Linked DNA regions of Ovis aries. The protein of the gene in region 2 purifies or fractionates together with the protein of the main gene of each other region. This does not show direct contact. Links are inferred from orthologs where the notes say so. Each region holds a gene or a part of one and is shown on either strand. Other genes may lie near its edges.

Region 1 (4,348 bases), on a different chromosome or scaffold from region 2:
ATGACCCTATGAATTCTGGTAAGGGTCTCCCTGCCATTTCTCCAAGACAAACTTCCTACTTTTTCATTAAATATTTCTAAAGGCATAAATACAAGACAACCCCCGCCATCCCCCCCATCCACACACTTCAATGAGGAGAGAAAAAAAGGAAAAAAAACTTTTCTGACCAATGTAAATAAGGAAACTTTTGGTGATACAGATAAAAGAATCAAATGTCTACTTATAATATCCACTGTTAGTTGTATGTATTTAAAAATCACATACTACATAAAATATTGAGAAATTCTTTTACCCCCTTTTCAACATCTCATTAAATAATTTTATTGAAAATTTTCCAGTGTATCTGTCATCTTTTTGTATTCCCTAGAGACTGTGACTTTTACCAGTTTTGTCAGAACATTATCACTTTCCTTTTATTTATAAAAGTTGAGTTACAGAACTGCTCGAATTATGATCTTTTTAACCTAAGTCTTAAGCACCTATTTCTATACATTCAGGTGTTTTCAGTTTATAGGTGGGTGTGTGCTATACATACAGATTCATAATCTCTACAAGGTAACGACTTAAGAGTATTGAACGAAGGAGCTTCAGACTTTTATCTCCTCCAAACAATGCTTTGTAAGGCTTTGTATGGAGTAGAATAAAGTGACTCACTCTTTCCTGAGACACAAATCTGGGAGGAAAAAAAGACTTTGCTTTACATCCACATTATCAGTAAGTCAAAAATTCACAATTACTTCTTCAACACATTTCAATTAATAACATACACTATTGGTTATGTAAATACATGGATACATTAACAGGAGTCTTTGCAAGTTAGTTTTCTTTCTGAATTAATATATTAGAACTTTGCTATACTGCTATAAAAGAAGTGAGTTACTCAACTCCCATGAACTTGTCTTCTTAGAGAAACAGCAGTAGTAACTGTAGCAATTTATGTGTATTGCATGCCAGTTAAGATCCAGTCGCTGTTTTAAGATTATACATATACTAACTCAATCTTCACAAAGTTCCTATGAAGTAAGTGCTATTGATAATTTCACTATATTGATGAGGAAACTCAGGAACGGAGAGAAACTTGCCCAAAGTCATGGAGCAGAAATTCTAAGTAGCAGAAATTAGGTCTAGTTCTAGGTCCCTCCCTCTTTTAAAAGAAGACACGGGGTTGGGTAGGAGGGGAGGGGCGGGGCGGGGAGGGGCGGGGGCGGTGTATATATGTTTGTTAGTTGCTCAGTAGTGTCACTCTTTGTGACCCTCTGAACTGTAGCCGACCAGGCTCCTCTATCCATGGAATTCTCCAGGCAAGAACACTGGAGTGGGTTGCCATTCCCTTCTCCAAAAGAAGACACACTGCCTCTAAAATTAGTAAAATTAGAGGGACTAATACAGTTAGTATCAGTAGTCTAAAGAAGACAAGAGTGAGGTTACAGTAAGTTTTAATATATTTTCTATTCTCTATCAACACTGTCTGAAGGCCTAATTGACAGGGTTTTTGAGGGAGAAGTAGTTCATCCACTACCCCCATTTCAGTAGTACTTTTAAGGTATAAAGTATTGCCTACTACAAACATACCACAGACGAAACTAGTGTCAGGTCTTCCTCCTTCTCCTCTCAACTTTGTAACTGATGGTAAAGAATCCGCTTCTCTAGGCCTAGATCCCCCTTGCTATCCCAAATACATAAAACTAACTTTAACGGTTGTCTTTGATAAGGCAACTTTCCTAAGCCCTAAGACAACGGCAGTGCTTCCACTGTAGTCATCTGGTTGCGTGCTGTAATGGGGTTGAGGAACAGTTTCCTAAGTTAAAAAGGGTAAACATACGAACTCAAGAAAGGAAGAACAGAAGAGAAGGTGTAGCCCGCAGTTAAGGGAGGGAGTTGGGGCTTCAGGCGCTGCCGTCTGACTTGGAATTCCGCGCAGACAGAATGAGAAGAGAAACTGAGGAGGTGGGGATCCAAGTCATTAAAACCTGTTAGCAACATTTTCTGGGATTTTCTTTTCTTTTTTTTTTTTTTAATGCGTCTCAAGACTCCCGCTTCAGAAGAAACTGAGACCCTAAGGACACTAACTGACCGATCCGTCAGGACGCTGCACCACCTTTCTTCCGGGGTCCCGAGCCAGCGCTGGCCCCTTGAGACCACTGCCCGCCGTCGGCCCTCGGCCGGGCCTTTCATACACCAGGCAACCGGCACCAGGGACAACCAGGGCCTCTCGACCCCAAGGCCGGAGAATCGCGTTCCACTCCTCGGCGGCTGCCTCCCTGGCTTCCCTTCCGGTAGACAACCCCTGAACACTCCCCCATTTCGCCGCTGAACCAGAACCGAGCCATTCCCCGAGAGCTGAACCCACCGCTCCCGGAGTAGAAATCCAAGACGGACTGAGGGTCTTACCTTTAACAGATTAGACGTCGCCATATTCCTTCAACTTAGACTCTCGCGAGACCGCGCGAGATTTCGTGGAGCTCCGTGCCAGGCCACTACTGCAGGCCCGAGTGTCCCACCTGGGCCGAGGGGCCCCCCGGCCCGCACTGTGGATGTGGTGGGCGCCGGCGTGCACACAGCGCTGACCTCGTCCCTCACTCCCGGAGCTTCCTCGCTCTTCCCTCCCTACATGGTCACCGGGGCCTCCCCGTACGAGAGAGCTCATGCAAACACTCGGGGAGACGGCAGCGGCGAAAGGTGAGAGGGAACAGGAGCCGACCTGAAATCGGAAGAGGAAGCATCGGCTCCACGAGCCTCCCCACTCCTTCAGATGAGCCTCTGTGGTGGCACCCGCAGAGGCCACTGGCAACGAATTTAGCTCGGTTTGGGACCGGCCGCTCTGGTTCGGCGGCCGCGTCACGTGACGCGGCAGGCGGGGCCGCGCTCGGGAGCGAGCGTGGGAGCCTGAAAGCGTCGTGGGCCCAGAACACGCCGCGAGGGCGAGGGGACGCCCTCTGCTGGCAGGAGTATGTGTCTTCCACCGCCGCGTGCTGTGGGGAGGTTACGAAAAAGACGTTATCCTGAGTGAAATGCTTGTAATAGCTGTTTTCAAGAACTGGCGCATAGAAGGGCCCCAAGAAATATTTGTTTGCATGAATCAATGAATCCATGCACGAACGTGTTAACTATTAATATTTCTACTCAAGAGGGCCTGGCACTGAAATAACCTCTAAGAGGTTGATCAGGTATACCAGCACATCCTATACCCTAAGACCCCTACGCTTTATCACTTCAGACCTCAAACCACTGGCCAAATAAAGGGAATATAATTTATATGTAGAATCTACAATATACCTGTGTGTGCTTTTGAACTGTGGCATTGGAGAAGACTCTTGAGAGTCCCTTGGACTGCAAGGAGATCCAACCAGTCCATTCTAAAGGAGATCAGCCCTGGGTGTTCTTTGGAAGGAATGATGCTAAAGCTGAAACCCCAGTACTTTGGCCACCTCATGTGAAGAGTTGACTCACTGTAAAAGACTCTGATGCTGGGAGGGATTGGGGGCAGGAGGAAAAGGGGATGACAGAGGATGAGATGGCTGGATGGCCTCACCGACTGGATGGACGTGATTTTGAGTGAACTCCAGGAGTTGGTGATGGACAGGGAGGCCTGGCGTGCTGCAATTCACAGGGTCGCAAAGAGTCGGACACAACTGAGCGACTGAACTGAATTGAACAATATACCCAGTATTGTATTCTACACATTTCCGAACTGTTCATTCATACATAAAATGTGAGAAATAAGTTAGAGCTATAGAGTCCCTTGGACTGCAAGATCCAACCAGTCCATTCTGAAGGAGATCAACCCTGGGATTTCTTTGGAAGGAATGATGCTAAAGCTGAAACTCCAGTACTTTGGCCACCTCATGAGAAGAGTTGACTCATTGGAAAAGACTCTGATGCTGGGAGGGATTGGGGGCAGGAGGAGAAGGGGACGACAGAGGATGAGATGGCTGGATGGCATCACGGACTCGATGGGCGTGAGTCTGAGTGAACTCCAGGAGATGGTGATGAACAGGGAGGCCTGGCGTGCTGTGATTCATGGGGTCGCAAAGAGTCAGACACGACTGAGCGACTGAACTGAACTGAATAGAGTAAAATAAAGCAGAGAAGAGGAATGCAGTTTTAAACAGAGGGATCCAAGTAGATCTCACTGAGAAGATGGCATTTGAGCAAAAAGACTTGAAAGCGGTGAAGGAGAATGCCAGGACATATTTGGGAGGACAGCAATGGGGGGAGCACAGGTGGCAAGTTGCCCAGAGTTTCAGAGGAACAGTTAGTTAGAAGGTTAGTGTGTTTAGAGAGAGAGTAAGAAGAGCAGAAGGCCTTTTCGGGCCTTGTAGACCACAGCAAAGACTGGCTCTTATTC
Region 2 (3,552 bases):
TCAGGCTAATAAAAAATGCTCGAAAGTATTTAGAAGGGATAGAAATAGTCATTTTTCAGTAGTGGCGTCGAAGATGGGGTTTGAGTTGTACTTACCTGAGCTCCATGCCTCAATAATATGCTTGCACAGGAGGGATGACCTCCAAGGCAGGCTTCATGCAATGGAGACACACGATCTGCCGTGATGAGGTTCACCGGCCACCCCTGGAGGAGGGAAATGGGCAGAGTGAGGAGTGCACTGGAACAGTTCTGTAGGGCTCAGCCATGAATCCACATTCTTTCAAAAGTTCACCTGGCTCACCTATGTGCTCAGTCACTCAGTGGTGTCTGACTCTTCGTGAGCCTATGGACTGTGGCCCAACAGGCTTCTCTGTCCACGGAATTCTCCAGGCAAGAATACTGGAGTGGGTTGCCATTTCCTTCTCCAGAGGATCTTCCTGACCCAGGGATCGAACCTGCATCTCCTGCACTGACAGGAGAGTTCTTTATGCTGAGCCATCAGGGAAGCCAATATATATTCTTCTGACTGCAGATTCATAAGAGTCCCTGACCCAGGTAAATTGTGTCTAAATCCCTGCCCCACAGACACTGTGAATACATGTCTGTACATGAAGCCACTAACGTAGAGGGTACTTTGTTACACAGCAAAACATGACCAAGACAGTCCAAAGCATTAGGTGAACCTCCATGGACAGAGAGGCAAAGGGACAATTTACACTCTCACTCCAGTAGTCTAGCGCTAAAGAAGCAAGAAAGTGTCTGAAAGGTCGTGGGGTTCTTCAACCTCTTGGAAAGTGTGCTCTCTAAGAGATGGATCCTGAACCTAATCCAAGCAGAACATCAAAAGAACTCAAGGAGAGGCTCCACAGACTCCCTGATCTTAGAATATATAATCTATTCCTAACAGGAAGAAACCAGGTACAATCAAAGTTCTTTTCCTTAGCATATGTCAATTAAGAGCATGGATAGTTTAATCAACATCTTGGTAATACTGGGTTAGTCAAAAAGTTCATTTGGGTTTTTCTGTAAGATGTCACAGAAAAACCCAAACGAACTTTTTGGTCAACTCAATATTATACCTTTTCTTCCCAGAATGCATGCAGGCTAAGTCGTTGCAGTCAAGTCTGACTCTGTGTGACCCTATGGACTGTAATCCAACAGGCTCCTCTGTCCAAGGGATTCTCTGGGCAAGAATACTGGAGTCAATTTCCATGCTCTTCTCCAAGGGAATCTTCCCAACCCAGGGATCGAAGCCAGGTCCCCTGCATTACAGGCAGATTCTTTACCATCTGAGCCACTAGGGAAGCCCAGAATAAATAAATTTTTCTGGAATAAATTTGCCTAAAATCATTCTATTAGATTATCTCACTCACCATCATCCCTAACACACATTCTTCTACTTTTGTGGGCCTTTTTTTCAGCCCCCCAGTCATGCTGTCCTTTGGGCTGTTACCCTCTGACAGGCAAGTCATGCATTTTGATATATCCCATCATTCTGGACACACACTTGAGTTCACAGGATCTCAGATCCAGAGATATTTTTTTAAGGTGGGTCTAGGAAGGGGTTCTGAAAGACTCAAAATAATCTGCTTGTAAACAAGAAACTTGAAAATCCATTTCAGCACTTTGCCATACTAGCTCTGCTGTTTGCAGGGAGGGATAGGGCTGTATCTTCCCTTCCTTCACAACCTCAAATCCCATCTGTATTAAACAAATGCTCCCTAACCCCTTGACTCGAGAAAAATTTGAATTGTAGCATTTATTCCCTTCACAAGCACTTCCCATGGACTTCACAGTGTAGCATCTTCTGTTTCATTACTGTCATTATTTTATTCAAGGCATTCCTCTCAAAGATCTGTTCTCAAATCCATTCTTTTCCCACTCTCAGCGTTCTCTGTTTATCCAGCCTCTTCCCCACACACTGGTAGAATACACCAGAAATTCACAGCAAAATGTTAACTGCATTTTTCTCTGTGCTACAGATCATGAGATGATAGAAGACTATTCTTTAAAGGAATTCTTTATTCAGAATTCCTCTATCACAAATATACTCCTATAGCCACTACTGCCATTTCAAAATCATTTAGGTGCTTATACATAAATCCAGGTAAATGAAAAAGCAAAAAAGAAATTATTTACATTCCAAAAATGTTCACCACTCATTACATATTCACATTACAAAGAAGTTCCTTTAAATTAAGCTTCCCTGTGCCAACTGAGGACTGTATTTACAGTTCATCACAGATATGCAATTTTGACTTGAAATGAACTGAGGCAGTTTGTCTGAAATATTGTCAAGTCTGAATCATATACCATTTAAGGTAATGTTTAACCCATTACTTCAGAGAGGGTCCAGTCTGCAGTGGGTTCTCAGAAAAAAACGGATCGAATAGCTGACCTTTAATTCTTCTGTCATCAATTGTCTGTCCCCTAATCTCAGCGTAGAGTCAGAAGTTCTGATGATTCCATGGGGCTGTGCAATACCAGGGCACCCATGGGTGACATAGTGCTTAGTACCTGGCAACTTTCTGTCTCAGCTCCAAATCATATGCCTACTCAGACAACCAACCAACCACAAGAAGGTTAGGCTTTATCATTTATCCTATCCACAGTTATCACTTCCTTCTCTACACTCAGCAGAAAGGAAGATCACAAACCTCCATCTCACTCACATTCATCCAAACACATCACTTCCTCCCTACTTTACCAAGGAGGTCAAAGCCATTTGATGTGAGAGCTTTCTACATTACCCTCCTCTCCACCCCTAACATCTCTTTATATTTCTCCAGTCTTCTTTTCTCCCATTGCTCCTTTCTCTGTGGGAGAAACTGATGAGCTCAGTCCAATAGCCCATGACCTCACCCGGTCCTCCCACCACCCCCAGGACTTTCCTTCATCTACCTTCTCATCTCATGCGTTCCCCTGCTCGCTCCTCTTCAGGTACACTTTCTTTTTGCTTTCAAAGTCCTCCCAGCCCTCAGTCCTGACCCTCTGAGAAGCACCCATTCAAGGCTCTTCATCCCTTCACTGGCCCCCCTTTTTTTCCAAAAATAGTCTATCCTCATTATCTCTACTTTTATACCTTCTCTCATTTTCTACCAACAGAATCCTGCTGATACCGCTTTTAAAGACCACCAGTGACTTTCAGAATCCAGTATGCCTTGCTCTGTTCCCCACCTCCTTCCATCTCTGAATCTGCAACATATTCATCCTGACCTCATGGAACTTGTGCCCTGGCTTCTAACACAGACTTCTACCTGAAATTATCTCCAGTCTCTGACTGCCTTTTTTTCTGTCTCTTTCACTAACTCTGTTCTTCTCCTCGTTACATCTCCTAATGCAGGCATTTCCTCAAGGATTTGCCCCCAAATCCTTTTCTTGTCTCTCAATACCCTCTATATATTACATATTGCTTTCAAATCTAAATCCCCAGCTCCAGTACATGTTCCTAATTCCCTGCTAAGACATAATCACCCAGAGACCCAGCTCATGACATAAATTTAGCCTTTGTCAACCAAACTCTCCTGAAAAGAGCTCCTTTTCTGCCAGACCT

Evidence for each region.
Region 1: the proteins of ASB9 (region 2) and CUL5 purify together in Homo sapiens (affinity purification with mass spectrometry; 6 studies listed by BioGRID and IntAct, counting the BioPlex papers as one, with this or other methods). This does not show direct contact. The link is inferred for Ovis aries from reciprocal best matches to the Homo sapiens genes ASB9 and CUL5.

What each region holds. Positions count from the first base shown.
Region 1 is NC_056068.1:17,272,199-17,276,546, reverse strand, and holds the start of CUL5 (cullin-5), read right to left. Parts: upstream 2,845-4,348; 5' UTR 2,416-2,844; coding exon 2,392-2,415; intron 1-2,391. UniProt on the Homo sapiens protein: Core component of multiple cullin-5-RING E3 ubiquitin-protein ligase complexes (ECS complexes, also named CRL5 complexes), which mediate the ubiquitination and subsequent proteasomal degradation of target proteins.
Region 2 is NC_056080.1:13,444,434-13,447,985, forward strand, and holds part of ASB9 (ankyrin repeat and SOCS box protein 9), read right to left. Parts: intron 204-3,552; coding exon 96-203; intron 1-95. UniProt on the Homo sapiens protein: Substrate-recognition component of a cullin-5-RING E3 ubiquitin-protein ligase complex (ECS complex, also named CRL5 complex), which mediates the ubiquitination and subsequent proteasomal degradation of target proteins.